Linked DNA regions of Neodiprion lecontei. The protein of the gene in region 1 purifies or fractionates together with the protein of each later gene. This does not show direct contact. Links are inferred from orthologs where the notes say so. Each region holds a gene or a part of one and is shown on either strand. Other genes may lie near its edges. The genes, in order: 3-phosphoinositide-dependent protein kinase 1, syndecan and 14-3-3 protein epsilon.

Region 1 (10,116 bases):
GTCTGAACCATTGTTACTACCTAACCATCGCCGATCGTTATGCAGGGTTATTATCACCGGTTGCCACCGATTACGCACCTACGCGTTCATTGCACGCGTATTCCCCAATGATATCCTTGATGCGGTTTCCTGATCGTTAACGCATCACCGACATCGGTCACGAGAATCGATCCCAAAAGGCATCGCTGTTACTTCCCGTCCTGATCCAATTTTACTATTATACGTCCCGGTTTTCCACGAGCCGGTTCAAAGCGGCGGTGCAGAATATTCGCAAAAGTAAGTATCGAAACTTGTCTATACAATTCCATCATCCTTGTAAAATTTTATGTACATCTTATTCTCAGGTTTCAGATAGCGTAATTTATAAGTGCATATCGTGAGTAGCATTATTTGGAATAAGACTTTTTCTGAGGGACCGTTCAATTATTGCAGAATTGCAAACCACTTTGCATCAAGTGATTCTTACGAGAAATCGGTTGAAAATCTATTGATCGTTTAACACAAATTACGGTTGAATCAGTTGCTCGAAATCACTGAAAACTGTGTGAAATCCGAGTTCAATTCATCTATGCATATTCGAAATTGTAATCATCTAAAGTATTACAGCTTATAGAGAAATCGCGTGAAACGAGTGAAATTATTAGATATCACGTAAAATTATCAAAATCTTCCAATCACTCGTCACTTAATCTGCAGGTCAAATGGTCCCTCAAATGGTTCCACATAAAAATGAAGCATAAGCGATCGTGTGCAGCTAGAATGCAGGTATCATCGAAGATCAGCGTAAGTCTGTATCAGGATCAATTTCGGATAACTCTTAAAGCAGCGACAGCTACGTGTGCAAAGTGTATAATGGTTATTTGGCACGAACGAGTCTGACATAAAACGGTTACCCGATAGTATAAAAGAGCTGCTGCGGTAGTCGCTATAGCTTGTGGCATTTAGAGAGGTCGACCTTGAAAGTGCGCAGAAACCTGGATAGACGAATCTTCTACTATCGTATCTCGCAGTCTGCACGTGTCGGTGCGTGGGAAATGATTTCCCTCTAATATAAGTAGTCAGCCGCAAGCGTTCGTGGGTGGCGCTCATCTCACATTAAACCCTTCCTAAATATACCTTACCGACATTTGCTTAACTCTAGTCCTCCGTCCGTCCGGCCTCCGAGAGAAAGAAGAGATGAAACGAAAAAATGCGGCAAATATCAACGACTGAGAAGTTCGACGTGAAATAAATAAATAAAAAAACCCAAAAACAATTTCAACGGATTGTATAGAATTGATTAATAATTATTGAATAATTTTTTTTTCTTTGCCTGCCTTTTACCTTGTTCGTCGAATTTATTTTAGATACGTACGTAAAGATTGAAGAAATGCGTACTTTTTTGATATCGTGAAACGAAAAACGCAGAATACAGACAAAATACGTATTGGAACATGCGACGCCTAGTATTAACCAACTTTGTCAGAGATCTGCACAGGAAATTTTTTAAAAATATGTAAAGTACGATGAATTTCAATTTCACTTCTCGAATTGTGTTGCGCCTGCGCGTCAGACTACCGATTGAATTTTGTAAATCCCAAGGTGGCTAAATACGTATATATATACATAATAAGAAGGTGGCATAGCTCGGGATGAAATGAGCCTGAAAGTGGAGAGAAGAAATAAAAAGCAAACGACGAGGGCAAGAATAAGAGAAATTCGAGACGGAGATAAATATTCATTCCGGATTAATTTAGACGAAGATATCACGCATTTTCTCCCACGTCGAGTGATATGAGAAACAGAAAAAGAAGAAGAGACGACAAACCTTTGCACTCCGTATTCTGATGCAATCGTTCGACGATCAGAAATTTAACGCGACCGACGAACAACGATTCGCTCTCGCGCGTATCCGTTTATTCGAGTTGCGTAGAAGAACCGCACGCGGAAACAGGAAAGCAATAATCGGGCATCCAGCGTGTGTATATTGCGCAGCAGACAGCGGCCAAAGTGCTCCAACCCCTGGGGGCGGGACAAGGTCGGCCGTCACAGGGTGAACGGCCCTGTACTAGCAATTCCCGAGAGCATCCAACCCGCAGCCCCGACAGAGGCCTGTGCGCGTATGTCATGATACACGCGCGCCACGCGACATAGCGCGAGCTAAGTGCTCGTATTTTTACATCACAATCATTTCGAATTCTTATTGGCACATCCCGAGGAGAGATAAGTGATTGCTATGCGTGAACGTACGATAAAAGCCGCTGGTGCCGCTGCTGCTGCATGAGGATGAGAATATGAGGAAAAAATAGCGTTAGTAATGATGATTTATACGGTTATAATCGTAAAAATGTCCGAGTAAAATTCTAGCTGGATGACTATAAATATGTGAATATTCAATTACGCGGCAGTTCGTTTATTGTGCGATGAGAAAAAAATTAATCGAGATGAAGCGAGTCGACGACGGCAGCGGTTGAAAATTTATTATAATCGAGCAGTAGACATGGAGATGAGCAGAAAGGTGGGGGTGATGATTTGGAAATATTAGAAAATAAGACGTGATCGCAATGTAGAATTTTCGAACAACGCGAAAATCTGTTTTGCAAAATTTTAAAATGTTACAGTAAGAAACTTGTAATATAGAAAAGTGAAAGAGTGTAAAAGTAAAGTACAGAAAACCATCACATCATTTTTACCGACGACATTCTATACTTTGACTTTTTGTGCTCTGGCTCTCCTACGTTTGGGCTACCTCGGGCATGTTTAAATTCTGTGAAAGAAATTTTCGCGTCTTTGAAAATTCGATATCGTGTCCCATATATTTTCCGATACTCTCGCGTAGGACGTATAACAACAAAAGCGAATACTTGATAGTACGCAAATGACAACATCCTCGATTCGAGGCGCGTTACGTGCATGCAGACTTTGAGGCCACGGCCCGGAACTTTGTGTAATGGAAATCATCTCGAGGGGACACTTCTTGCTTGAATCCATAACAAATACGGCACAGGCACGTGAGCCTCGCCGGCTCTGTTTGCATCTGTGTTTATCTAAAATATACACGTTGTGCCTGGCCCGGCCGAGTTTCCGGGTTGCGATTGAGAAAACGGTAGCCTCGGTGCCCTAATTTCTAATCACGAAAATCGTAATCGAGAACTTTGCGGTTTTTACCGTATTTTATCGGAAGGTTCAAAATCTGAAAAACCTTCGTGCTCGCGGTAGCGGATTTCCGCTAAAAACGCTGCTTGCCAAGACAAGAAATAATTGAAACACCTAAAGAGAAAGAATAACGGTCTAAAGAAATAATTGGTCACTTTTTTTTTAATACTGGTAATATCAATGAGCTGATTAGTGCAAAATTGTTTGAGGATTTATGACATTTTCATTAGATTGATGTTAGCGGAAGTTAGTAACGTTAACGTAACGAAACGTAGAAAAATCACTGTTTCCCTACTTTTCGATAACTTCGAAGCAGTGCTCAAGTTTGAAGAATATCAGTGTGTTGATTTTGAGCTTCAGACAAGCGTATAAAATGGTGGGATAAAATTTCTGTAGAAGAGATTCTGTACGGTATTCTCTGCAGAACTTTTCCTCTTTAGGATAGATTTCTGTAGAACCGAAGGCCTTACCAAACACATCGTAAACGTTGCACTGATAAAATTTTCAATATCACGAGATCATGTGCATCGCCATGGAAAATTTAATTACACTTCTCGAGATTGGATTTTTGGAAAAAGTTTGTACAACAGTATCTATATATACATTGTCAATTGGTACGTATGGTCTATGCAGAGTAAAATCTGAAATAAGTTGTTTCGACGTCCATTCCTTACAATTTAAACACCAAACATTTCACGGTACAACGGCGCATATTTATATAGCAATCAGCTGCACACTCAAACTGCGTATCAAACGTGTTGGAAATCTCACAGCTGTCAATCAATAATAAAGTACTCCCTGCTAAATCTCACGTAAATCGCGATTGCGAATAATATTGCGATATTTACGATAAAATGTATGTACTCTTGTACAGGCACCTGCGGCGATCTCCGGCGAAGCGATAACGGGGATACGAGACCCCGTTAATAGCACGTGTGGTGGACATAATGGCGAGTCGCAAATGATTACGTAAACGGAGGGATTTAAGAACAGGGAATATTTACTTTAAGCATGACGACGCGCGTCTCGTGTATATTATACAAAAATACAAAAATACGAAAATACGAAAAGAGAAGAAAATAAGATCAGGATGAGAAGAAAAGTAGTGCGTATTTCTAGAAAGAATATACGTACAGTGTACTAAAAACATTACGGAAGCAAAGTATTCGAAAAATAACAGCGTGATGTGAAAAGATCCAACGATATGGTTGATAAAATTTTAACTATAATTTACTCAATAATTCATTGATGCTACTCAATATGATATTTAGTTTTTATTTTTCAATTTCGTACCGGTATGTCAAATAATCACGTTGATTTGCTGTGAACGAGGTGATTCACTTTCTTCAAAGATTTTGTCAGCTAAAAATATATTTTTCCACCTATCATAGAGTCGTATCTACAACTGTGAAATGAAGGTACAGAAAACCTGATACAACTATAGAATCGTTTGGAATGTAAAATAGAAGCGATTTCCTTAAACTCGATTAGTTGGAAATTCTTCGTTCAGACTGTCCCCAATGGCAGTGAATATTTGGTCTGTAACCTTACATAAGACGATTTTATTATGCATCAACATTCCGAGATAATACCGTCAATAAGACATCGAGCAAATAAAATTCCACAACTCTTACGTTAGCTTAATAGCCAGAAGGTTGAAACATGGACAACAATCATTGCGAGAAAAGCACTAAACAATCAGGAAGAAGTAAATCGAATGGGGTTCGGTTCTACAGAAATCAATTCTACAGCGAAAATGTTCTACAGAATATGTTCTATAGAGTCGTTTCTACAGAAATATTTTACTACAGAAAGGAATTCAAGATTCACATCAGAAATAAACTTGCATGAATTATTCTACGGGCAGAATTGTTCTACAGAACATTGTTCCGTAGAATATTTTTTTACAGATTGTGTTTGACACAACGCAAATTCGGAGCAATCATCGAATCGATTCAAAATCATACATTCTGATTTCATTTAATCTAATTTAATTTAAATTATCTGCGTTGAATTTGTGTTTCGTAGTACGGGTATTGTGTTGAGTGTGTATAACTATAAAACTGTTCCGTAGAAAAATATTCTGTAGAACAGCTCTTCTGTAAGATAATTCATGCAGGTTTATTTCTGATGCGAATCTCGAATTCCTTTCTGTCGGAAAGTATTCGGTAGAAAAATATTTCTGTAGAACATTTTCGCCGAAGAACTGATTTCTGTATAATCGATCCTCCTCCAATAAATCAGGACATCGTAATCAGGATTACGTTCGCCGCCTATGTACATACAATCTAGGGCACAGTGTGTACGAATCTTACAATGCGTAAACGGAGAGATGCAACGCCGAGACAATGTGGCGTGACAATTGCGATCGTCGACTTTGACGCGTGACGTCAGGAGTTTAAATGCTGTAATTCACCCACGCACGCCTCATGGCGGGTGCACATGGCGGCGGGAGAGAGAAAGAGAGAGAAGCCGACGGGGTTTCGAACGGAATGAATGAGGCGAGGAAGGGGAAGGCGAGGCGGCCCCGACCGCACAGCTGAGCATTGATAAGGAATCACATTGACCCCGACGGCCGGCGTAAACACAGGCAAGCACACACGCAGCCAAGCGACGCTAGGAAGGAAGGAAAGAAGGAAGACGAGGCGGCGCGTGCGCCCGGCGGTCGGTTGTGTACGTACATGCATACGTACGTACCTTGACGTAACGAGTGGCGAAGAATAATAAGGAGAGTGACGATAATTTGCTCCGGGTGGCCGACGACGAGAGGCTGGATTTTTTAGCAGCAGCTGTCTCACAGCCGGGCGCGAATGACCGGCGTGTTGTCAATTGACAGGGGCATGAAGGGGGGGAACGGTGGGTAATGTCATGCACTTACCATCGGTGCTGGAGCCTCGGACATCTCGAGTCGAGTGTGGTTCACTTTGCACAGAAATAAAAGGAGCGGCGGACAGGCTGTTTTAGGTTCAGCGACACTCGGCGCACACCGTCGTCACACACGCAACCGCTATCTTGAAATAGCAAAAACTGTCAGCCATAGCGTTCGACGGCGAGTATCCGTCGGCAGGCCGGTCGAAGCCACCTTCAGACCGCACGGTGGCGCCCTCTCGACGCTTGTCGGCGAACCCTCAGAGACTGATTCCCCGAAACGCTGCCAGAGCCGAGCTGCCGGACGACCAGCGATGCCTGATCGCAGTATGGCCGCCGTCAGTGGTGTTACTTTAATTTGTGACAAGTGAATTCGCGCGGTCCGAATTTCGAGTGCCGCGATCGACAAAGCCGCTCCTCAGCATTGGCCGAACTCCCAGGGCCCTCCCAGGGCCCACCGACAAGGTAAGATCCAGAATCCCACATCCGCATACGCGAAATTTGACGATTCGCGAGACGGTGCGCGGCTGTATGTCGCCTCGACGGAAGGTTCGGGCCGTATTTCAACCCTCTCTTAACGCCTGATCGGCGCCCCAGAATTTTCAAATATTCTATCATCCCCCCCTCTACGGACGACGGTGCATCTTCGCCCGAATCGCGACCCTCGCTCGATCTAGGTTCGCCCGTTTCCCAACGATTTCCGCACTCCAGTCTCGCTTCCGTGATGATTATGTTTACGCTAGGTTGGGTTATGTTGGCTCGCCTCTCGCTATGCGCTCAACCAACTCGCACACCGATTGCGCCGGTAAAAACTACCATTTTTAAACACCTCCTCACAACGCGAGTAGATGGCGCACCCGGTCACTGATACGCAACATTTTTAAAACTCCGTCCGACCGCTGATTTGTTCCTTCGGGTTCGGCGGTATATGCAATTTTTTTTAAATTTATTACTTTCATTTCCATTATTCTGCCACGAATTCACTTCCGTTACGATTAAGAGTTTTCTTTCATTCATGTACATTAGACTGATGACTGAGACAGTCTAATGTACATATATGTTTATTATATAAGTGGAATTATTATACTATATATCAAATAACGTATCGAACGGATATCTCGTGAGAAATTCGGACGAAAGAAATTTTTAAAATCTTGAAAAACCGAAGCACGTTTTCACATTTTTTGCCTCTATTCGGTATAGTCGACACTACAGGCCGTGTTGTAAAATATTATCCAGAAGAATAAGGCATCTGTGGCCCCCGGTGTCAATAAACAACGAGGGCTGTTGCAGCCTAGCGAAACGTAGTTATACTTTCATGACGCGGTGAAGTAAGGAGTCTGTTAACAGAGAAATGAGAATAGTAAACACCCCCCTCCCCCCGTTCGCCGTGATCATACCGATTGAAATTAATTTGTTGTTCATTCCGTGAATTGAAAGAATAAAAATGTGCCTAAGTTAGACAGCAATGTACGAAATGATTATTACAATGCGGGAATTTGGTTTTTCAATTTGGGAGCACAATTTCATTGTTCTAAGCATGCTGCACACTTTCGAGTTGTTTATTTAAACAATGCCTTTCAATGAGAACAATTCCAATTTTTAACTTTGATGATCAAGTTTGGCTTTCGGAAGTTACAGTCGGTTGAAAATATGTTTTGCATCGGAAATCATCGAAGTAGAAAATTTTATATTCCAAAAACCGTATAGAATAAAGGTCTCAAAAATGCCTTGTATCTAATTCGTCCAAAGGAATGCAATACAATATTAGAAAAAGAATCGAAAGAGATGCAGCTGCAAAATGTTGGTAGAGTTGAAAAAAACTAAATCGAGAAGATTTTCTGCAACATTTCAGGCAACAATTTTGTCCAATTCGCTGAAACGATCATTCGAAAATAGGCTGAAAAATTAGTGACATAAGGTTTGCGGTATCGTGACAAGTTTTTTCATCATATCTATGTTGAAAACTTATAGACTAATCCGTATTACTTGAAGTCCTAGAGTTTCGGTTCAGTGCCAATTTTAAGGGTGCAGAAATCCAAACGAACAAAGATCATAAAAAATTTATTCGCGCTTGCAGAAAAAGAGAAAAATAAAAACATACCGATCGCATCCACGATAAAAATTCCCTGCGTTGAAATCGAAGCATCGCAGTCTCGATTCTGCTATGATGTGAAAAAGCTTGGAATCGTAGGATTGGGCGCACCGATCCTCTTCCTAAAATAGGCGACACACTGCTACGGGAGTTAAAGCTGGAGGTGTCTCTTGCTTCCTGTGAAAAGCACAGAGACAGAGATCGATTAAGCATTGCGGATTAATTTACTCGACACCCTTTCACATTGTCTGATGCAAGAAAAAAGGCGTTTCACTGTATCAATAACGCAGGTTTTTTCGGAACGTGCAATTTTCAGTACGAAATTTTCTGCGGAATTTGTAAAACGTAAAATTTGGGCTGTTCCAGTCTGTGTACATCGTTTATTTATGTGTTCCATGGAACTATAGGCCACTAAACCGTGCCACTTATAACTATGCACCAAAGCGCTATGTCATTGCTACTATGACTCTCACAATTAGAACTGTGGGCGATTGGGCCATCCCCTTGTGAAGCGATGATTTAGCGTGTATTTCCGCTGGCGAGAAATATCAGGTGCGGGTATCCGGACAGACATTGACAAACTGTTTTCTCACTTTTTTTTACTCTCTTCTTTCCCCGAATTTTTCTTTCCATTTTTCTAAATAACTGTTTCAATATTTTTTTTTCTGTTAGAAAAAAAAAAAAAAAAATATTTCTATTTTTTATCTTGATGGAACGATTCACCGTGTATAAATGAGACTTGTCAACGAATGAAAATACCGCCGCATTGCTAGGAAACAAATGACATTTTCGCCAGAAAACGGTCGTTCGTGTAATATAATGCGAGGCCGCGTTACCGCGATACGACTTGTGCCAAAATAGCCAAAGATTTATGGAAAATGCTTTTGTCTTTGCGGGGTACAACTATGTGAATATTTCGCGACATTTGTTGAATATTCTTGATGTATGTGTAGGTATATATATATATATATATATATATATATATACGCAGTCAAAGTTTCTGCGTGTACCATATCCATGATGTATCGTACATTATACCCATCCTTATATATGTGTGGTAGGTACATACAGGTACAAGAAAGAGGAAAAAAATTCCTCCGTAAATTACGATTTTCATGTAGGCGATTTTATTTCATATCGTCTCCCCTAGTCCGCTTCGATTCCCTCATTCATTCCTCAATCGCGTATTTGTCGTTCTTTTATTTCACTTTTTCTTTTTTTCTTCTGTACTACCTTATCGCCATCCCCGCCGGTGATCGTGGATCGCAAATCAGCCTGTTATTTTATTTTAAGTGTATTTCTTTTTCAAAATTGACGCGTGATTCATCGGCTTTAGCTAAGCTATCGCGTGGGCGTCGGCTGTATCATCGGGCAGAAAAGAAACATACGTACATGCATACAACTCATTATTATTATTATTATTGTTGTTATTTTTGTTATTGTTATTTACTTGTAATTTGCAACAGCTAATCGTTCTCTTCGATACCAAACAACCTCGTGAAAAATTTCAATACGCCGATAGCTCTTTGGATTTATGCTGCTTATTGCTTGACGCGAAAGCTATACGCTGCCTGCCGGACTTACGGCCATGATTTGGATCTGATCCCATTATCTCAAAGTGTATCGAAATCCGATTTATATCGCGGTTACGCAACCGCGGTGATGGTAACAGGTATTTGTGTCATATTTTGTTTGACTCTTATCTCGAATCGCGAAATCAGCATGGTGACGTTATCAAGAGGGAAAAAAAAATAATAATATTATTCGTCGTGCGGTAGGTTACGTAACGCGTCAAAGTGTTTATGTTTATGTATGAATAATAAGAGTTGAATGTTACTCCTCGAATTGTTAGAATAATTCCAATTTCACGCGCATTCGTTTAAATAAAACAACGAATTTCGTGGCCCAGAAATAAAAATAAAAATCCCTACTACGTATAATTCACTTCATCGATCGTAAGAGTATAATATGTAGTAACGTACATTGAATTACATATCATTTATAACGCGTAGACGTAA
Region 2 (10,280 bases), on another chromosome or scaffold:
TATTTGCTTCTGCCTGTAGACTGTATTGTACATGAAGTTTCTGATACTAGCAAGTTTGAACAATTTCTGTTATTAATTCTGATCGCATATAATATAAACAAAATAGTTATCTGTTTTGGATTTGGCCTGAAATGATTTTTGATCGCAGAATTTTTGAGAATTTCTTTGGGAAATTTCACAAATGGCGTTTGTTTTGACTTTAAAAATTTATAAAAAAAGAATGGTCGGATATAAAAATCTCATATAATTCAGGAGTGCTGTTTAGAGTTATGACAATCGTATAAAAAATTATGGACAAAATTAAAGCTGGTGAGGGAAAGTTAATTGTTGAGTTGACGTGGAATATAACTTCTGTAAGTAATGACACTTCTATTAAGACTATTAAAATAAAATAGTATATTCATTCCTCACTAGCTCTTCCAAAACATAATTTTTCGCCCTATAATTAATTGCAAGTGTTTCAGCCCCTTTGGAGCTACTTTTTGCACATTATTTTGTTAATGTTGATCACGTAAGATTCGCCAGAAAATTTTTTGCGAATGAATTCTCGAATGTTATAAAATAACACTCTGAAATTATACACAGCTGTGAATACAGGCTTGCACAGCCATAACACCTGCAGGTAAGTCAAAGCTGTGACAGTTGAGTATTTAATATATTGTACATATTCCCTTGAATATTCATGAAATTTTAAATTTTTGGGAGCTGAAAACCCTTCGTTGTCTACACTAATCGAGGAAGTTCGAAATTTATGCGTCAAGAATCCCTTGCCAAAATAATCACTTCAAGCACGTGATATCACGGATTCTCATGAAAGCTGAATGTTAAACATTCTTATTCACTGTGTATATATAAGAAGAAAAATTATACAATCCTTGGTCTACCGTTTTTCATTTTTATCAACGAATCCCAAAGTTATCGAGAAAATAAGTAATTTTTCATTAATTTATAACATTTTATTAATTTCACACGTATCACCGAAATAATTTGAAAGATTTAGTTTGCATTGCACCCCTGAATCAAATTTGCGATAAAGAAAGAAATTGTAAACTCAAAATAGCATAACTGTACAAAAATTGCAATTGCTACAAAAATCGGGGTTACTTGCATAAGTATAAATCGAATCGCGTAGAGACCGACCATAAGACTGACTTGTCTTCATGCTTTTACGAAGCTTCATAGACGATCTAATTGTAAACTTAAAATATTTTCAATATATCGAGTAGGTGACGATCTGCCAACAACCTTACAGAATATTTTTGGAGTCAAAAATTCAAAGATTGTACTGAAAGTTATGCCGTTTTTACACATTACGAAGATATACATATAAGGATTGGTAATCTTATGTAAAGGTATAGTAAGGAGAGTCAAAAAAGACCGGCGGGAAATTGCAGTATTTTGCTTTGCCGACTCGATTTAACATTCGAATCTCACAAGATGGGTCGGTAAGTGCAGAGCAATAGAATTACCTACGGATCCACCCAGATGGTGGAAATATTAGCTCACAGCTGAAGGTCTTTATATATCATCAGTCAACGGATTCGGTGGTTCGATTTCTGAATACATGGTGCAATTTTCATGTATTTGCTTATTGTCATCGTAGCCTGCAGTGCTGCCACCGCTTATGACGGGTAATTTTGTAACTAACGGTCGTGTCCAGTTCGTGGACATTCCTCGGCAGTCAGTATTCTTCCTTCACTCATAACCCACGTTTCGAACATAATTTCATAAATCTGTGAAAATTCATCGTAGTGTTGCACAGTGTTTCTGAATTCCTGATCGAACATGCAGCGTATACCAACTGTCTTATCGCGGAACATGGCGTTTCTCAGGTACTAAAAAATACACAATATTTTATTATGATTACCGTACCAAAGATCGACAGATCGAAATTATTCTCCCGGCACAACGGTGCGTAACCGGCTCACCCTGCGCTATTTTCGCTGCTCTAGCTCTTTAGCCGTCTGCTACTAGTTGCTGGCTGATTGTCAAGCAATTTACGCTACGGAATGCAAAACTTGTGCACATACGTTGCTCGTTTGTCGCAATGTTCGACAAGACAGACAGTTTCGTTAATGATAAATCGAATCACATGCATAATCCGTAGTCAACTCAAATTTATAGTATTACATAACCCAGTCATCCAAATAAAGCAGGTATAACGACCTTACGCAACCCAATGAGAAATGCATGTACATAGGTGTGTATTTACCCGACACCTACCAAAATGCGTCACCCCCAAGTGCGTTGTTGGTAGAATTTATTTGCGTCCTATTGCAGACAAAGTACGTCGTTGGCCAGAAGTGGTGGGGGCCAAACCCAGACTAGGCATACTCCAAGTGTATGGTGATTTATTAACCCTTCAAGTCTGACACACTCTTCGATTCAAAATAAAAAATTTTGTTTCAACTGGTGAACATTTCTTTGGGTTAAAATACACGAAGACTGGGAGTTTTGAAACAGTTTGTTTTTCGATATCTGTAGCCAAGTAGATATACTGTATAATATACTTTGACAAATTTTTTGAGAATTTTCTGATCGAAATGTACAAACATATTCAATAAATAGCCATTACCCTACCATGTCAAGTATACCCATCACTAAAGAATTAATAAACTGCATGCAATTATCCACGTAGGCTATCATCCCTCGTTACAAGATTTTCCACGATGATTGTATCCTGCTATTTTTTCAGCCACATGAGAATGTCTGGTGAACCAGGTAGTGGCGCAGGAAAGGGTGGTGGTGGCGGTGGCAGCATCAGGGAAGCTGGTGGAAGTTTTGGCAAGATGGAAGCAGCACGCGAAGACCAATACTTCTACAATCAGGTATAACGCTAGCATAGGATAGGATAGGTGTTTAAGCAGTCCTCAACACTATTCTTCATTAACTTGAGAAATGAAAAGTTAGTAGGAGTTTGTCAAGTTGAAATAAATTCAGAGTTTTGTAACCTTGAAATGATTATAAAAGAAATAAGATTGCAAAAAGTGAACATATTCTTTTATTTGTTACATTTTCTTACAAGCAAAGAACGTAAAATGAAAAAATAACAGCTCTTCCTAAAAAAAAATAAAAATTATTCTTAACGTTGATGTGGTGATCTTCAACCTTATATGTCACTATCAATGTTTGATTTTATAAAATTAATGACTTTTTAAGATATATTTCATGATACTCCTATTAACTGAGGAAAATTTTTTTTCTCAACTTTGTCATTATGTTTCAACAATTAGTTTATGCAATTGTTGCAAAATTGACTGATAGATATGTTGATTGTTTCCATGGAGACACTGCTTGGAATGAATAGAAAAAATATATATTTTACTATTGCTGAATTATGTTAGCAAAGATACTTCGAAGCTGTCTCAAATAATTTACTGAATGACTTGAACTTTTGGAATGGCAAAACCAAATAACGAAGTTGAAATCAGTAATGTTGACGTAACGACAGATCAAACAAAAAATTTATATATTTCAACTCTCGTATTAATTTGAAAGAGTTGAGTTTGCAAACCGTGAATGTGTTTTTCCTTATTATGCCTCACCAAATGTTATATAATCCCAAAATTGGGCAGTAAGCAGACTTTTTATAATTGCAACATTGTATAAATGTTACAAAATTCATTTTCACAAGATATATGTGAGTAATTACCAAGATCAAAAAGTTAAATTTCAATAGCCAACATAAGAGGTTGCGTCATATTTGTATTCCATAGGATAATTCTCACGCACTTTAATATGCAGTCACTGAATTTTCTTTTTCTGTTCTAGCAAAAGGAGCAGTTGAAAAATCTGCGTGACGGTCTTCATGATGAGATCTCTTTTCACGAGGAACAGATAAAGCGTCATCAGGAGGCCATAGAGCGCCACAAGGCTCGAATTGGAAAGATGGAGAAGTAAAAATGTATGCAGGATTTGACGAATAGCTGAACCGCCATACATCAAATTAAATCATTGTATTTTTAATGTCAATGATAGTCAATGACATCTTGAATGGAATTTTTTTTTTTTAAACTATTAAATCTTTAAATATTATGTAGAAATAAAGTATACAGCTTTTCATAGTTAAAAAAGTTGTACGAACTCATATTTCATCATCCAAAACTATGTTGTAATTAAGCTTTGAGCTATTGCACACTTAGCATACTAGCTCCCAGCTTTAACTGAACTAATTCAACGATGCAATTCTTTTCTATTTCTAATATTTTTGGTTTTGTAAGTTCCAATTGCTAGTATAATACTATCTGTATCTGAGGTTTTATCACATTGTCACGTTATAAAAATGGGAATTCCACTTGTTTGACTTTCTTTCATTTTGTACGATATTGCTTCGGTAGCCTAAATACTGTAAAAATGCAGTTCAAAAATCATTGTCAGGCAGATATGCAATACCGTTTTGAACTATTTTACTTCAAAGTACACTCGCGTAACTTTACGAGCGTACAAAATAAAAATGATCGTTGAATACGCGGCTATTCTGTGCAAAGTAAAAAAAATATAAATTCATTTCGAAAAACAACTGAAACTTCTTATCCCTGTTAAGGTGTTAACAGTGATGAATATCAGTTGAAAATGACTGTAACCCAAGTTCAAATCTCGACAATACGAGTCGAATAATATTAGCCTCAGTCAACGACGCATCTGATAAATAATCTGCTAACGTTATAGGGGTTTGTCATAATATCGCCACGGACCTACCCTATCATAGTCACGCATCGATCGAACTTCTGCCGACACGAGAGCTTCGCCGTAAATCCGCACAGGTGGCACTACCGGTGGCAAGATGGCGCGAAATACAGAAGAAGCGGGGACGACCGTCGCGCCCTCAGTGTCGTAGGATTCATTGATCAGTGTGGTGTGTTCGCATTGTTGCTCTCGAGTTTTGGTGGTTTTTCGGTTGTATTTGATTAGTTTTGTATTTAACGAAACAAAGTGAAACTCTCGGGCTCAGTCCAGGGCCCTCCCCCTCCCTCGCGAAGGAATAAACAAAAATGCACCCAAGGATATACCTGTTTCTGGCGTTCGGAGGCGTTATTTTATCGGGATGCAACGCTGCTGCATCAGAGGTAAGTGAACGTCTGTCACTTTTCATTTTCCCTCGGTCCTCACCCCGTCTAGTCTCTCGCATCCCGAGTCATTCCACTCGAAGCATTTCGATTCATTTTTCATCACGAATAATACCTGCGAAGCTTACCTCGCTCGTCCGTGTTCGTTGAATATTTTTTCGACACCTTTCATCCCTACGAGCAGTTCGAAAACTGGCTAACGCGGCAGACGACGCGATCAATTGACCGACCCTCGCGTTACGGGGGAAAATGCATCGCTTATATACGGATGTGGCTCTAGGAAATCTCCGCGAGAACGGAGAACCATGTGTGACGGACGCGTCCTATAAGCGGAGCGACGAACCTCCCCGCCAACCCCCTCGTGCCCTCTGATGCCCTGGTAAAGAATATTTCCAGACCCGATGACGGGATATTACATCGCGTAAGCAGAGTCGATTTAATTCAATACAATCCTGGTCTACGTCCCCGTGATTGAAAACCGGCAGAAATTGATAACAACGATAGCGAAAGGCCATGGTTAAATGATAATATATGCTCGATTGTAAAAACAAACGAATAAGGAACGAGGCAACGCGCGTCGAGATGTAAACAATCGCGTCAATGAAACACCGGGGAGAGATGTTTGCAATCTGGAAAACCAGGAGGAAGGTCAAGAAAGTCAGGGAGCTTGATTACAAAAGTCGCATTTCAAATCTGAATACCCGGTAATCCTAGTTTCTTTCTTACTTTTTCATATCGAAGCTACATTACCGCGACGGAAAATGATTTCTGGGAAATGCTTGCGCTAAATCATTCATATTTACTCGACAAATTACAAATCTTTTTATATCTCACTTAAGGCTGTTTATGGACTGTACAAACGATGGGTTTTGTATTTAACTATTTTAAATTACATATAATGTGGAAAGCGATGAATTTTGTAAACTGCTTTTTGCACGAACTCTGTTGATGCACTGTTAGAAATGCGGTGTTATATGTAACAACGAAAATATTCTATAGAAGTTCACACCATTTTAGTGTTGATTTTAAAACCACTTGGTGACCAGAATCGAACGATTTACATCGATGATGTTTAATTTTACACTAATCAGTGTGGACTTATATTGACACCGTTATTTTTCTCACAGTGTGAACGGTAGCGTTTTATCAAAACCGAAAATATGTTCCATATCTGAACGTGCAAATTGCAATATGGCACAACAAAAAACTCGACGTTTTTAACCGCGATGTTCAAAGAAACGAATAAAAGTGAATTTTATATTTTTTCACACATTTCATTACGAGGTTTAAATTCGTAACGTTGACTTGAGGAAAATTTTTCATGTTAATCGCCTCTTTGATGCAGTCAACTGTAAACGAAGCTTGAAATTAGGAATTTGACTAAGCAAAGCCTGTCACTTATATTTTGTGAGACGTAGTTGTTAGTTTGCTATGCTTCGATATTTTAACTTTATACACTTAAACCCCGTAAAATAACCCATTCTTAGTTTGTATTTGTATTAGTAGTTTGTATATTTGCGTACCAATGAAAGATGGTTTTGTTTCTATTACTTTTTCACCATGGGAGAAAAAATGTTACGAAAACGTTATGGGTTATAAAATAAATAAATGACGGTTGTATCAGACCAGATTAGACTCGCCAGAAAATTGCGGTAACTTCCGTAAATATTAAAGAATTTCGTTATTCTATTAAAGGGAAGTTTTCTACTTGACTGCCGTCAAGGAATATATTTCCAGCCAGCTACATAAGCGTTCGGAAACGCGCGTATACAAGAATGCATCGTTGCATAATCCATTTTTCAGAACATATTACATTCCAATCATGATTTTTACCTCAGTTATGGTGTTGCTGTAGCTTCTGACTAATTAGAAAAACACGGAATCGCAAAGTGGTCAGGCAATTTATGGAAAGGACAAAACATTTTGTAATTAGTGAGGGAATTTTATAGTGGCATGATAGAAAAGTAGAGACTAGACAAGAAAAATATTTTCCCTCACGTGCTCATTTTCATGACCCTTAAATATATGGATACACGGATTTTTGACAACTGATTAGTTCGGAGTTTTATTTATTCGATACTCCAATTCGTACTACTAGTTGGAATTTTACCCAAGAGAAATTCATAATTTGGTGAGGGAAAATCGGGGAATTTAAGAAAAAATATTTATAGTGGGTATTATTGAAAACCTTGAATTTGCAATCGCACAGAACGGTACTTTTTATGCAGACTATAATAATAAAGCAAAATACTTGACTAGAAATAGGACAAAAAGTTGATAATCTGTTTGCAATTCGTTCATGTGGAAAAGTGCCTCCGAATTTTATAAATTTTGACTATCAGAAAATGTTCCAGGTGGGTGAGCGAACATGAGTTAAAGAACACAAATGATTATACAAAAGGGTCGAGAAGTGCTCTTGCAAACGAGTGAACATCACACATCATACATCATACATAGTATTAAAGTTGAAAACCATAGTTTGGATGTTCGGATGTTCAGAAAGTGACGTCATCCAAAATTTTTTTTTCTCTCGACGTCATCCATCTATAGTAATCGTAACGACGAAAATCAGCTAGCCGAATTCCTCAGTCTCGAAACAATCGCGCAGTAAAGCGGACGGATGAGAATCGCGCTCGGCAGATTTCGAGTACCGGATTCTCTCTCTACCTCCTGGACCCTGCGCTGCGGGTCCGCTATCCGGTGAAACTTGACTTCCAGAACAAGCGCTCCGTAGTTCTGGCCGCCCAGGTCCTTGACCTGGTGATTTTTAACCTTCAGGACTAATTTTCGTAGTTCTGGCTGTCCAGGTCCTCCACCCGGTGGATTTTGACATCCAGGAAAAGCGCTCCGTAGTTCTGGCCGTCCAGGTTCTTGACCTGATGACTTTTGACCTTCTAGACTAATTTTCAAGTTTACAAGTTTGATTATTGAAAACGTCATGTTTTGTACCATCAATCCGATATGCTTGCTTCAGATAACATTTTGAATTGGAAAAGAAAACCGAACGACCAGGATTAACAAACTGCGATTGGAGAGTAGTTCGAAATAATAAAACAACGAATTTGTTTTTCCATTTACACATCTTGCAATTCATTCACCATCGTTTAGAATTTAGTGTAATCAATGAATCACGTACGTACTTGGCATACTAACAGGTAAAAGCGACGAACTTGTTTAATGTCGTCAAAATCCTAGTAAAAGATGGAATTTCCAGTCAGTCAAATTTTTCTTTCTTTCGATACTCAAAGTGCGTTTTTGGCACAGGGGCTAAAGAGGCGAGGGGCAATTATTCATAAAAACTATAAGGATGCAAGCAAAGTCTTTCGGTGTAATATTCGATGGAACAGACTTTCATCACGCGCGTGATGATTGCTTTACGTAAATCATGGATGGGGGGATATTCGTTTTGCTCGCGAGGGTTGCGGACACGAAGACACCCCTCACGTGATTCACTCGGTTTTTGCATAGGGTGCAAAGTGCGTGTGTTAGTGCCTGTGAGAGGTGATTCGTTCGTTGGCTGGTTTGGCAGTGGCGTATTTATAAAAACGTAGATCTGGCGTACAAACCAAACACGAAAGTATCCAAATAAAAATGTGTTACAACGACGAAGGTTGAAAGTAAATAGCTACCAAGGTCGATCGATTTGAATTCAATTTAAGTTTCGTTGCTTCACGTTTTTTCAACTACGCAAAGTCCGCTTATCAACAAGAATCTTAGGTACGAGTGATTTTGTTCGTTCCAAAGTTAATTCTTAACAAATTGACCGAGATCGATTTTCATCGTCGGTCTTCAATTTGTGTAATAAAACCAATTTACGCAAGACGGTATAGGCTATGATTAACGAACTTATGTTTCAATAAAAAAAAGCATATTGAGACGTTATTTTAAATTTATTTCTGGTTATCTCCTTAGAGTATCCCCCGTACTTATACGTACGAAATTAGCCCTGCTATTAATCCATAACAAAGAAACAACACGAGCATGGCATTCCAAACAAGAAAACAATAAAAAGATATCTTTGTAAGGTCATTAATATGAATAGATTTTTTTTTTCAAGTTTAATTTGCAGTGTTTTTCTTTTTCACAATGATTTTATTTCAAAGAAGAGACATAGTTCTCACATACAATTCAATTTATATTAATCAAATTGGGTCCCACCTTTGAAACCCTGATTTTCATATTCAACTGTTTCATAATTTTTTCACTCGACTGTACGTCTGCAGAGATGCAGCCTTAAGCGGTTGGGCCAACCCACATGGAATAGTATAAGATTCAATGGAAACGATTGTCGTACTAATGTGAGGGATCCCTCTCGCCAGAAGCCCACGCCGACTGTAATTACACCATTTTAACCTCGCTAATGCCGGATCTTTGCCGCTATAACGAAATTGCGTTTGTATCTCCTCAATCGCTGGCTTGTCGCGGCGACGCGGTGTACTTAGACTGGGAATTATAGAGAAAGGAAAAAGAAGAAGAGGACAGACGGAGAGAAAGCGAGAGAAGAAGAGTTGGAAGGAAATTCATATATCTTTTCAATTACCTGCGACCTCCTTGCCCCGCGATTCCGATTCCCTGTAGGTGTAATTATATTTCACTTGTATAAGTTTGCAGGGAATTGGACTGCGAGAATTTTTTTTTTCCCGTTATACAACCTCACCAACTCACTCATATCTATGCATTAATTCTTTTACTTTTTTCTTCATATATTTTTCTCGTTACTCGCCCCTTTGTGGATTTCCGTACTTTCAATTAATCGCACGACTTGTTCGTTCTACGACCCACTCCAAAGTTTCCCTCATCAATCGCATAATGTCAAGTGCAACGTGCAGTGCGGTGCGCCAGAACTAACAATATGCAAGGGCGAGTTCAGCCCTGCACAACCTGCAGCTTGACTCGACTCGATCGATAAAAACGAAGAGCGTATAACCCGTGAATATAATTATAACGACCGGAGCCCTCACAATGAATTTTTGTTTGAAGTTAATCGTTCATTTCCGTTCACAGATTCTTCACCCATGTTTCATTCCCGCGTTTCTTTATCCAGCAGCCAGCCAAATTATCCTCCCTGAACGCTGTCAACTGTATAACAAACTACGATATGATGTCGTATTACGATGTACAAAAAACATGTGTATCAAAGCTGTAAGATCATGTCGAGAAATACGATGAGATGTTTGAGGTATTTCGTGTAGCGTCCATTACGCAGATAAAGAA
Region 3 (13,323 bases), on another chromosome or scaffold:
ATTAAATCACTGTTTTGCTACGAATTTTGGAAGAAATTAATTCTCTTATTAATTTCTTGTATCGCCGACAAGTCTGTAACTAGACACAGGCTAAGTACTGGCGTGGGCTTACCATTGCGATAACTGTTACTCGGAAGGTGAATGCAGCCAGCCTCATGTCGAAATCGGTAACTCTCTCATGTTCTGCAATAAGTTCTCAACTCTACAGTTCGAACAACTCAAGGGGCGCAAGCGCACGTCGATTTTCGATTGTCACACCAAAGCCCATTAGAGCAACTGTATATTCTTCAGTCAACGGTACGGCTTTCAAATAATAGTTTTGAAACCCAATCCGTTCCACGCGCTATTATCATGGTCGTGTGTACTAAAAAAAGCTAGCAGAAATATTGTGAGTCAAGCAAACTTTAGGAATGTTTAGTTGTCTCTCCAATCCAATGTCAAAAGCATTCTGTCACCCAATCAGAGACACCTGTCATACAAACGTTCTCAAAATGTAAATAAACAGAATGTCTGAAGTAATAAAGTCGGTTAACATATTTCAAATTTGCATCGGTCGTGACAAAATACTGAACGAGTCAACCAGACTTTTCTGTGTAGCAAACTTTTTCTCATAAGTCTCCTGATTTAAAGCTCAAGGTAATTCATACCAAATACTGTTTAAACTACATGCCATACTATTGTATAAACTGGGGTTACGATTAATCACACAAACTCACACTGGAAACCACAATTCATGCTTAGGTACACATCAACTCATAATTAAATATTTATTCCTATAGCACAATAAGATCTTCGTAATTAGTGATATCTTTACAATGAATTATGATGTTCAAATTATCGCATTAGAAGTTAGAAGTTAAAAAAATTTAAACTATCACCTTAGAAAAATAAACCACACTATCTTTATTTTGAAGCTTTTGCATCTTTCGGTTATTTGAAGCGTCACTATTTTTTAGTAACAATTCCTGGAAAATTGGATCCATTCGTTTTAAGAACAAACTATCGACAAGCCGCAAAAATGACGAGGCGTAAGAACCACCGTCGAGCTCGCCAAAAGCAAATTCTCCAAGATTCTTGTCTTACACTGGATAAATCAAATGAAAATATTGAAATTGACTATCTTGACCAAAGTTTGGGAGTAGATCATGATACACCAGATCCAAATCTAAGGACTCCTGAAGCGGTGATGTGTAATTCCCAAAATTCGACTGACCCGTTGCATTTTAAGGATCTGAGTCCAAAGTTAATTGGAAAAATTTCAAGATCCAAATTTGACCTTGAAATACCAGATTGTGACACCAGACAAATATTGAACATGGAATCCATCACAAAGCTCGACATAAGCTTCAAAAATGTGATATCAGAGACGCAACGTTGTGACGATACTTCCTCCATGTTGAAGGATATTCAAGTTGAACATAGTCATACCAATCTCGATAATTATCTAATGAATAAAACTGTATCTCTTGACTCTGCTGTGATAATCGAATTAGAAGCCGAAGGCGCAGCAAGGTCTGAAACGCATGACAACATTGTCAATAATACGCAAAAAAGTAGCATAACTCTTACGGCTTTTGATCAGCCTAAAAATAACGAATTTAACGAGACTAATGACCGCTTTAATTTCAATGATCTGAACAAACAAAGTAATTCCGATACATGTATCTTGGAAAAAAATAGCCCTTTGAGTTCAAAGAGCTGCCAAACGAATTCTTCAGTGAATAGATGTTTTAGATTTGAATGTAACCAAGGGGGGGAATATTCAGAAGCTGATAAAATGTTGCTGAAAGTAGATGAGAATTGGTACAGAAAGAAACAAATATTTCCAAGCTTGGAACAATTAGACATTCTGCACACACAATCTGAACCTGGACCGTTGCCAACTAATTATATAAATGACAAAGCTAGTAACACAAACTTGTGTGACCAATTTAATTCACAGTCAACATATTATGACAATGGAGATACTTACTGCTGGTCAAATGCGGATGGAGATGACGCAATCAATTATTCGAGAAGTAGCTCACCGCCAGCCAAAAGGAGTCGAACAGCATTGCATTTTGAAAGTGAGAACAAGCCAAAAACATCTATAGCTCACCCCCCAAATTTAAAATTTCAAAGTAAACCGATTGCTACGGAGCAGGATGACAGTGAATATACTATAGCTCTGAAAAAATACTGCAGCAGTTCCTCGTGCTCACCAGCATCTGTTGACTTGCCAACAGTATCAGATTTGAATGCAAAAGTGTCTGCGTCAGAGGTAAAATATAATTATTCCTGTTTCAGTGTTGAACTGAATTTTAGCTGTATTAATTTTGACACTGTTTGGGAGCTCTAAGGCTCTCCAGGGCATCCAAAGTTAAAATTTTGATCATCATAACGGTGGTACGACGAGAAAGTGCTCTCATAATCTGCCGACCGACAAAATGAATTAGCTATTTAATTTTTGAACCTTTCTCATAGATAGAATCCCAGGAGCTCCATTATGCCAAACCACATCCAGACTGTACGTACTGCCTACGAATAGCACAACCTCCGGCAGTGCAAATAAGAGCTGTAATAGTACCTTTAACCAAAATTACAGAGTTTTGTATATGGATTACAAAAAAATTTGTTGAATTACTTAGAAAGGTAAGCATAATATATGTAAGCCATGTTACATACGACTTTAAGTCTTCTAAGATGGTAACTTAGCTGCTTCTTTCCTAAAGGGATGGGTATGGCTCCAAAGTATAGCTGCAACCAATGTACGAAAACCTGAAAGAAATGACTCGGATGAAATAGTCGACAAGTTGACTCAATTAGTCACGACGATAAGATGTGAACACGAACAATCAATATCAATGTTAAGTGAAAAAGTAACGCAACTTACAGCAGAGCTGAATCAGGTATTTTCATTTCATTGAAAAATTGACAACTTCACTTCGCCAACATTACATACTAATTATAAATTTAAATTTTATCTAGAAGAAATGCTTATCACTACATTGAAACTTGACACTCTAAATAAATAAATGTTGTTATAGGTTCGAATGCAAAGTGAAGTGGCATTCTCAGTCTTGACCACAGAAGTTACTGGCATGCGCGAAACCAATATTAATCTTGTGCAAAACAACACGATTTTATCAGATCAATTAAAGTCAATAAACAGTACGTTGGAGTGTACACATGTGAAATCATCCTTACCACCACCGCCACCTCCGCCACCTCCACCACCTCCACCACCACCATTACAGCCAATAATACCCACGACACCAAAGAGTAGCAGGAGACTCAAAACACCCACTAGAAAGTGTTCTACTCCATTACATCAGAGCAGACCAGCTATTACAGTAGAAGATTTGTTGAAAGTTACTTTGAAAAAGGCAGCACCATCAGCCAAGGTAAGGTCTTAAATTGTGGGGCTATAAAAATGATATTTTTCGACAAGGCATAAAATTTATTTATTCTATACTCAGAATATCGCGAATGGTCAATGTATTTTCGTAAGTAATTTCGATTTCTGTATTTTGGTCCAATCTTTACAGCTGACTCTAATCAAGATATTTCCAAAGAAGTCATCAATCATCAATTAGATTTACCAATGAAACATGCTATATAATACAAAACCTTCCATCGAATTGAAAAAAATCATGAACATTCACTTCCAGGAAAACAAATTGCACAAACCTGTACACCCTCGTGGTCCAGCAGTCTCGCTGGACATGCTACGTAGTGTGAAACTAAGATCGGCAAGACGTAGATCAATTGACCGGAGTTCAAAATCACCAAGAAGTACATCACTGTCAACGAGAGCACGTTCTCTCACACCTATCAGTTTGTCTCCGATTATGGCAGGGATAGAAAGTCCATTGGGTAGAATCCTTCGACAGGTGGACATCAATAAACGAGGACCAAAGCGGGCTTTATCCAATTCAATGTACAGTGATGTAGAATTGTCCAAGAACAGTCCCCGCAATCTCAGCATAGTAAAACACAGTAAGTCTGACTCATTGATGATATAATGCCATACAATTTTTTGATCATATTAGGACTGTGAACATATGAAATTAGTAGACTAAAATATAAATGCTCAAGTGAATCACACTTGAGAGACCAGTGACCTGGTCTAGTTTACTAGAATTAAGAGCACAGCAAATTTTACTGAAAGATATTGTGAGAAGATTATTATACATGTATAAAGAAAAAAAATAATTCAAAATTTTTTTGGATGAACAAATAACGAATTTTACGAAACATAAGTAAGCAAATATGATTTATATGAGATGTTCGAAAACATTTTTCAGGTATTAACTCATGTATAAAATTAGAAGATTAGAATTAGCGACCTGGTCTGGTTTACCAGTACTAAGTGTACAGAAAATTTTTTATTTCATGACAACGGCTCATGCCAAGTTTGTTACTGAAAAATATTGTGAGAAGATATTTATAAAGAAAAAATTATTTATGTGTAATCAAGATACTAGCAAGATAATTCGAAAATTTTTCAGAAGAACAAATAACGAATTTGACGCAACTTAAGTAAAGTAATAAATAATGATCGAAACGTGGTGTTACAGAAAAAATGGAGACATTAACCCATGTATAAAATTAGAAGTTATTCTGTAATTTACTTAACTTGTGAAGTATATGTACTTATTTGAATTCCGTGGAAGATATTTAATTGTATTAGATATCAAATTTTATATATATTTATATTAAACTGAAATAAGTTACCTCCTTTCGTTTTATAAACAAGAAAGGGCGTTTCTTCTTTTTGTGTCAATCAGAATCAACAATGCAGAATCACTTATATTGTACAAGTAGACTGTTGAGTTTTAGAAAATTTAAATAATCTGTGATAATGATACCACTGAAACCCGAGACACATTCGTTTAGTATCAGACGTGAATTTGTATGTCCTTTTATCATGTAATTGCAGATAAACATCCTCGAATAAATGATGTGATAATAGCACGAATGATATTTCAGTCATGTTGATTATATCAAAATATAATGTGACAGTTATAAATACTTCAACTTCAGATCATGTCTACTTTTAATATTTCGATACACAATACAATGAGTGAATTGGATAAAAACAAGAGGGAAAAATATCTCCATATTATATTAGGTGAATCAAAATTCCAGACACCTAAACTTACTTCATCACCTTGGAATTTCTGCGTTTGAACATCTTGAAATTAGCAAAATACATAACAACGGACGATAGTAATGAAAAACAAAAAGATAATGAGCATTTAATTACTACTAGTTTGATTCAATTCCAACTTAATTCTCTGTCACCTACACATATACAGTTATAGATATGTCCATGATCTAAATTGAATTTGGTTAATATGATTGGGCTGTTACTGATACATCATAAAAGTACCTGTATATGACACAAACACCTTTGATTTCAGCAGAGATAGCAAATAGTTTCAATTAAGATTAAATCATTAGTTGCAAACCTCAGTACTTCGCAAGTCTACAGTATTGAATTAATTCCATCGAAATTCAATGAACAAGCCACAAAATAGACAGTAATAATGACTTTATTTTCAGTTTTCATGTGTGGCTTTACAGGAAAAGTCGTAATTGGTGTATTGTATTAATTTCCTAATACAGAGTGAACGCATGCGAATTCCAAAATATGATTTACTGGTTCTAAGTGTTTATCGAATTGCGTGTGTGTGTTGCCTACATTGTCAGCATTGGCATTTGTCTTATTTTCACGTTATTTTTTTAAATGTCTTGTTTTTAGATTCAATAATTAAATACCCCGTGGTATTTTCATAATTTTACAGTATATAACGTTTCACTATTGCAAAAGTTAATCTTAATTACTTCAATCGGCTCCTTGTACAATTAAAATTATTATTAATATACTTACTTATGGTATTATCAATATTATTTAATGTTATTCTTTGTAATATATTTATAATATAATTAAGAATTAATATTACTGCTATAATACTTAAATGTAGGGGCACGCCACACACCAATTTCCACAAATTGTTTCTCTTTCAATTTTATTTTATTGTTTCTTTTAAGCATGCCCGGTGTCCGTCTTGCAAGCGTACGCTTAATTCAAACTCTTACAGATTTTACGTAAGTAAAAGTATATGAGGAACAAGAGATATTGTGGTACTCTCCATGACATTTTATGATCAACGAATGCAATACAATGAAAAGTTCACCATCAGATGTTTCATGCAGGATTACCAGACATCAGCTTCTTCACAGAAATACCTGATATTTACGTAAAATCTCCAGAAAAAGTATTAAGCTACGTGGATAAGACGAAGAGAAAGAACGAAAAAAAAAGGGATGCGAATAAAAAGAGAGCTATTAGTTTCTCAATTTACGAATTGATTTTGAAGATTCACAAATTGATAAGTTTGATTATTAATTTACGTTGATGTACATGAATATAGGTGATGATGGATAAAATAATTTATTTCAATGCGCCACATAGATACACGTAATGTTATGATTATAAAAAAAAAGAAGGAAAAATGAAAAATTTTGCATTAGTAGCAAAGTGTTCGTATTTTTAATGTCTCAGCACGTATCAATAGCATAAGAATGTTTGTAAAAAAAAAAATGGTAATAACAATTTTTTTTCTTACACGGAGTAAATGTTAATGTTTATGTTTTTTTCTAACCTCTTCTCATGATCCACGTTAATGATAGTTCAACTACATTTTTTTAAAAGATTACATAATTATTGATTATCAATTAGGGTCTCGGCGCATTGGCATTCAAGAATTTGGATCCAAGCGTACGCAATGTAGAAAACTACATATAGCAAATTGGTCCCCAGGACAACAGTGTAAGCTACACTCAGCCAGGAACTAATATTGCAACAGGCAGCGGATTTTCACTTTGTTAAATGCTTGTAATCTCACTAATACGCAGGATGCGTCTCTTATACTTTTTCTGCGTGCTCCATAACTCAACAACATGTGATTGGATGATTTTGGAGTGAACGCATGTGTGTTTTACCACACGTACGACCACATGATAGCTAAAGAGCTTCCCTCCCCACCCTGAACTCCCACCCGCTGTATGTTTTTTTGTTTTTTTTTGTTTTTTTTTTTTTTTGCTTAAGAATTATTAACAGTTTTTTTTCTTTCTTTCATTTGTATGCGCGAATGACACTCACTGCAACTTAAGTTACGACACGTCCTGGTCTTCCACATCATGCAGCTGCTCTTTCTGGTCGCCTTCGCCTATTACAAAAAGTAGCTCAATTTTATCTTTGAAAACTTAAGTAGTAATACAAGAAAATACAAATTTTTTATCAATGATAATTTTACCTAAAAACTACAGAGAAAATTATCCTATTGAAAATCTCATAATTTGATTGTTCGATTCAATTAACAGGTGTTCTTGGTTTAAATTGACCTTGATCAGCAAGGAGATATTTCTAACCTGATGATGGTATAAGGAGGGGGAGTTGGACAGTGTTCTTAAGGATGGGAATCACTTGTAATGGGTATAGCACCATCTCCTTGAACAGTTGGCTGCTCTACTTCAGATTCTAGATATGAAATTGAAAATGCCCCATCTAAGACTAATTCTTTTTATATTGTTCACGAATTTTCAAGATTTAGAATATCATTTCATAAACCCTTATTGAGTCAATAGAACAATAACTATGACTTACCGTCCGCCTGCATATCCGAGGTCCATAAGGTGAGGTTGTCCCTGAGGAGTTGCATAATGAGAGTTGAGTCCTTGTAGCTCTCTTCTGAAAGGGTGTCCAATTCAGCAATAGCATCGTCAAAGGCAGCCTTTGCAAGGCGACACGCTCTATCGGGACTGTTCAAAATCTCATAGTAAAACACGGAAAAGTTAAGAGCCAGTCCAAGGCGAATAGGATGAGTAGGTGGTAATTCTGTCATTGCGATGTCGCTCGCCGCCTTGTATGCAACCAGTGAGTTCTCGGCCGCCTCCTTCCTGTCATTACCAATTGCAAATTCTGCAAGGTAACGGTGGTAATCACCCTTCCTGTAACCGAATCAATGTTTCTCAGTAAAAATGTCATATGGAAAATGAGATAATGATAAAACAGAATAAATTTACAGTCCTTACATTTTGTAATAGAAGACTTTAGACTCGCCGGTTGACGCGCAGGGGATAAGATGTTTGTCCAAGACACCGAGTATGTCGGCACAAATGTCTCTGAGTTCTTTTTCAACTTGCGAACGATATTGGCGAATCATCTCCAATTTTTCCTCAGCCCCTTTGTTCTCTTCTTTTTGCTCGATACTAGAGATTATCCGCCATGAGGCTCTTCTCGCACCAATCACATTTTTGTACGCGACGGACAACAAGTTCCTCTCTTCGACGGTAAGCTCCACATTGAGGGATGCTACCTTTTTCATCGCCTCGACCATCTCTGCAATACAAATATTATGACTAAAGTTCAAACGTTTGTCAAATTTATGACACATGATACAATTAACTAACATTGGATTACAAATGCCAGGATGCAGTTTTGCTTTACGGAACATCTTTCTCAAGACAAGAGCAATAATTTTTTCACACACTTCTGTTTTTAGCTGATGAAAGATGTGTAAAAACGAAAATGAAGACTTGATGAAGAGGACAAACAAAGTTTATTTATCTCGTGTTTTCTTATTTTTATCTAAGTCAAGAACTTATTAGGTGTCACTAAGGGGTCAAAAATAGTAAGTTAATTGGTAGCTATTACTGTCAAAATTAGAATTTTTTCAGAGCTAACGAATAAAAAAAATCACTTACAAAGTTACATGCATATAAATAAAATTCTGAGGTATTTCTGATTCATAAATCATTCATAGATTTCAGAGTACCATGTCAGTGATTCCGTGATTTTCGGAAATACTGGGAGTTTCTGAGGTAATTGTCAAATTTTTTGATCCAGAGTTTGCAATCTACACCATTTTATTCACTATTTCATTATTTACGTAGAATCACTGTGATATAATTTTTGAACTCCAGTTGCTCCAGCTGGCATTTCATTAAATAACATATAAACCAGAGGTCCAGTACTTGGTTTGTAAATCATGTATTGAATAATTCGAATTTCTTGATAAAAACTTCTCTACTTTATGTAAAAGAATTGCAAGAAAAAATTAGCAAAAGGAAATAAAGCATTGTTTCACCTTTCTTAACAAGAAAATTCCTGCAACAATTCGAAATGCCTATAATACAACAGCAAAATTCGTCTCAATGTCCTTTAAAATTATTCTGTTAAAAAGATCAAAATCAAGATCCGTTTTCTCAAAATTGTTAGGTCATTGGAGATGACACGTACAAATATGCGTATAAAGCATATTTTACTGGGAAATTTAAAGTGTCATATAAGATTTTTAAAAGTTATCCTTAAAAGTAAAGACGAAAGTGGAAAATTAGACATCTTAAAATCTAATATGTGTTGACATCTTAAACGAAGAAAAATGAAACTTGACACTATAGCAATGTAACAACTACGATTAATGTAAAAGTTTTACAGCTGTTTCTTAAAGCCAAATAACGGAACAGAATAGCAACCCTTTGCCTTTAAATGAAGTTTAAAGTCTCTTGCAGCGAATGAGAAACGGTAGCAAATGGACCTGCAGATAAGTCCTTGAGAGTTCTCCAACCAAAGTAGCAATTTGAAAAATGGAAATATTATCGTTATGCAACGAGAACTTAACGAGGATTAAAAAAAGGTGAGACTCCTTCAAGCAATCATTACGATAAATCAATATTAAAATTGTGTAAGCTAATCAGCTGTAATTAAATGCACATATAAAACAATCAAAACGAATAATTCTCTAAAATGCATAAAATACATGATTGATGTAGCATAGTAATTCCTTTTATTCAATGAATTGATAAGACCAGAGAGTTAACACGAATAAAGTACATGGGCTAGAGAGTGTACAGGGACACAGGATAGCAGGCACAGATCAATACTTTCCTTCAGCTACGACCTCCCTTGCTTCACTCATCCCCTTGCCTGGTTCTCCCTCTGCCTGCTTGCTCTTACTACCCTCAAAATTAAACCCTCCACTGATACCCTTTTTGACTGAGATCTTCTTGATAAATATTTTATCTATTCAAATATTTGCCTAGTCATTAATAGGTTCATGCTGTGATTGGCATCCAATCAAGATTAGATTAATAATTTTACCTAAAAATAATGTACTTATATATTTTTTCCAAAATCACAGCACGTATATTTGTGAAGAAGATTAGTGATATCATGAAATATCGTTTGGATCTGAATGAAGATCTAAGTGATTTGCCATCACAGATAAACTGTTGCAACATTTTAATGGGTTTTAGCTCCGTAGTAGGGCGGATTTTCAATTATCTCTTCTGTTCGTTCACGGAGCTCTTAACAGATAATATACAGCTCATGAGGTAATGCATGTTCCTGTCAAACAGTGAGTACCAGCCTACTACATAGCATGTATTTGCCGGAGTAATCAAAGAAGACGACATTGCGTATACGCAATTGTTCTCAATTGTAAAAGAAATCGGGAAAAGTTGATGGTAGTGTTTTTTTCGTCGTTCCTTTTCAAGAATTCGTAAAACGGGACTTGTTCTTATTGTACTGTTACTTAAAACGCAATGATGTAAATTGAAACAGCGATATCGCGTGTAAACGACTGCGCGAAGATGTAGAGCGTAATTTTTGAAGGCACCACAGACGGGAGGGGGGAAAAGTCCCCAAGCGAATAGCCATACTTTACTTTGGACGGGAATAAAGAAATGATGGAACTCTATAGGACGAGACGCGACATGGGGACAAGGTTGAAAAAAAGAACCAATGAAGAAGAAGATAATCCCGATAAGTTTGAGGGATTTTATGCCTAGACACGAGTTGATAGATACGTGCGGTTAAAAGCTTTGCCTTCCCATGTCTATGCGTCACTCGAAATGCGGTTATCGCACGTTCGATTACACGCCTAGCAACGTTGTCCCGAGTCACTCGGCATGGATTATGATTAACGAGGCATAACCACGACGAACTCTAGAATTATTCATTGCTGTAATTAAAGTGCCGATCAAGAGTAGAGAAACGCGTAGGAAGCAAAAGGGAGGGTCACCTCGAGGGACCGGCATTGCGCGCGGTAGGCGAATTTGTCAGTTCTGACGTTTGAAGTTAGATTTTGACAGTTCTTTGGAAATAAGTGGCAAAAAAAAGTGTGCAAATACATGAGAGGACGCCCATCGTCTGTCAAGTATAACAACCGGAAAAATTGACCACGGAATAATTAGCTGTGGAAAGGTTTTTTCGTGAGGTCATCGACGAATTTCACCGAATTTCTGTTGGAAGCCGAAAGATTTCGTTAAAAATAACGACTCACCGTCATAGCGTTCTGCCTGCTCGGCCAGTTTTGCCTTGTAGACATTGTCCTCCCGCTCCGACATCCTGGATGCTAGCGGATTTCACGGGGTCGCTGAAAGGATTCGAGAATTCGCACTAGATACGTATCACCGAAAAACGGACACCTCCTCGGACGGCTGCTTACAAGCTCACTGACCAAGATGGCGGCGCCCGCCAACAATCGAAAGCAGTCCCATTGGCGTAGGTTCGAAGACTCATTGTGATTCGGCCGTGGAATGTATTACTACGCGTGACGTCACGTTAGTGCCGTATGACGATGAGTAGGTCCGCTTTCCAGGTAAATCCGCCGCTTTAAAATAACTTCAATCCCCCATCCACGATAAAGATTAGTGAATTTTTCTGCAATGATACGCACCGGTTTAATACGAATGCGAATTTAACACTTGTAATTAGTAATATTATTACGAACTGTCCGTCAGAAAGCGAATGCTGATTTTCACAAATAGCCAACAGAGTGATTTGAAATGTTAAAGCCCGGCGGGCTGTAAGGAAGTTTAAAAATACACATGAAAAAATACGCGTGTATTTTTACGTATGTATAAATGTATACCTGTATACTAATTTATACATCGCGCACGATGCGCATATAATAAAATTAGTTTTTATTGACGATAGGAAAACATTATTTATAAAAAAATGTCAAGAGACTAGAGTGGGGAATGCGGGTGTTGGTATGAACCTGTGATCAAGGATATTCAATAATCTTGTCATGGAATAAAAACTTCATATAGCGAAGCAGTTGTATTTTTTCTTCTTCAACGAATGCCTACTATACAAGCTCTAATATCCAAATATTTTCGCTATCCAGATTATCGTTATATTTTTTTATTTATTTATGTTTTTAATATTATTTATTTAATAATTATTTTGTATTTATATGTATACAGATAATGTATCATCTTTTCAATAATTATCAACAGTTAAAATTAGATTACAGCCTGGGAATAATCGTACGGATTTAACATAACAGTACAACATACTGCAAGTAGAAATCTGTAGTTGTGAAAATTTGAAGATGAATCACCCATTGATCTATCAAGGTGTCAGCTAGTGATCGACAAATGGCAATCTCATCGAGCTTCAATTTCCTCAAACCCTCACGATATGAATCATTCAAATGTTCATTTTTGGACATTCATTGGAGAGGAATTTGTAGTTAAAAGCTGGTGGGCAATGTCATCCGACTTTGAAGTACAGTCGTTGGTGCTTAATTCTTTGATTGATATACATAAATGTAAGAGATGTTGAAATTTTCGTTTCTGAGCCTAGATAATCTCGAGGATAATCTGCGATTTGAAAATTTATCATGTCTAATTGTAAGTGTGATGACACTATTGAAATAACAGTGGATCGTAAACAAGTTGAAAGCGGACAAATGAATTCCGTACAGTCTGTACTTTCAATTCATCCGATACTGATACAAATCAAGTTCAAATTATGTAATCTTAATGAAAACAGTCCAACACTATTATGTAATTCCAGCAGGGAATAGGGATACACAATAAGTTCATTTCAATAATAATAATAATGGTGATAATAAAGTAATAATATTAAATAACAAATGTAAATCTGGGACAGGAAAAATTCGTAATAATATTGTATACAAAGCCTAGTTGCTTCCCTAATTAAATATTTTGGAAGCTCACACGCCACCTTTATTTTTATTTCAATTTATTAAATTATATCATATTTGTTTCTGTACTATGTATTAGTTGTGCAGCATGGGAATTTTAAGCATCCTCTTTTCTTTAAAATTTCAGCCTGCAAGACGTTGCCAAGTAAAGAGTACCGCAAAAAAAAAAAAAAAAATACTATATGCAATTTTAATAAGGGTAAAATTCATTCAAAATAAAAAGTAATAACTTTCAAGTCGAAAACTACTTTTCAAACAGTGAAACTTTTTATAAATCCTATGAAATAATTTTAGTTCATTTCTTGATGCAAAGGAA

What was found.
Region 2: the proteins of 3-phosphoinositide-dependent protein kinase 1 (region 1) and syndecan purify together in Homo sapiens (affinity purification with mass spectrometry; 4 studies listed by BioGRID and IntAct, counting the BioPlex papers as one, with this or other methods). This does not show direct contact. The link is inferred for Neodiprion lecontei from reciprocal best matches to the Homo sapiens genes PDPK1 and SDC2.
Region 3: the proteins of 3-phosphoinositide-dependent protein kinase 1 (region 1) and 14-3-3 protein epsilon purify together in Homo sapiens (affinity purification with mass spectrometry; 3 studies listed by BioGRID and IntAct, with this or other methods). This does not show direct contact. The link is inferred for Neodiprion lecontei from reciprocal best matches to the Homo sapiens genes PDPK1 and YWHAE.

Annotation. Positions count from the first base shown.
Region 1 is NC_060265.1:25,017,352-25,027,467, forward strand, and holds the start of 3-phosphoinositide-dependent protein kinase 1, read right to left. Parts: upstream 6,145-10,116; 5' UTR 6,038-6,144; coding exon 6,014-6,037; intron 1-6,013. UniProt on the Homo sapiens protein: Serine/threonine kinase which acts as a master kinase, phosphorylating and activating a subgroup of the AGC family of protein kinases.
Region 2 is NC_060263.1:25,405,514-25,415,793, forward strand, and holds the start of syndecan, read left to right. Parts: upstream 1-4,822; 5' UTR 4,823-4,991; coding exon 4,992-5,066; intron 5,067-10,280. Other genes in the region: ATPase inhibitor mai-2, mitochondrial-like, read left to right, coding at 2,187-2,200, 2,281-2,346, 2,696-2,828, 3,772-3,900. UniProt on the Homo sapiens protein: Cell surface proteoglycan which regulates dendritic arbor morphogenesis.
Region 3 is NC_060262.1:34,812,674-34,825,996, reverse strand, and holds 14-3-3 protein epsilon, read right to left. Parts: upstream 11,527-13,323; 5' UTR 11,398-11,526; coding exon 11,334-11,397; intron 8,390-11,333; coding exon 8,083-8,389; intron 7,999-8,082; coding exon 7,655-7,998; intron 7,529-7,654; coding exon 7,458-7,528; 3' UTR 7,420-7,457; intron 7,218-7,419; coding exon of another isoform or gene 7,162-7,217; 3' UTR 5,520-7,161; downstream 1-5,519. Other genes in the region: uncharacterized protein LOC107226083, read left to right, coding at 1,019-2,260, 2,464-2,631, 2,712-2,888, 3,027-3,383, 3,651-4,004. UniProt on the Homo sapiens protein: Adapter protein implicated in the regulation of a large spectrum of both general and specialized signaling pathways. Binds to a large number of partners, usually by recognition of a phosphoserine or phosphothreonine motif.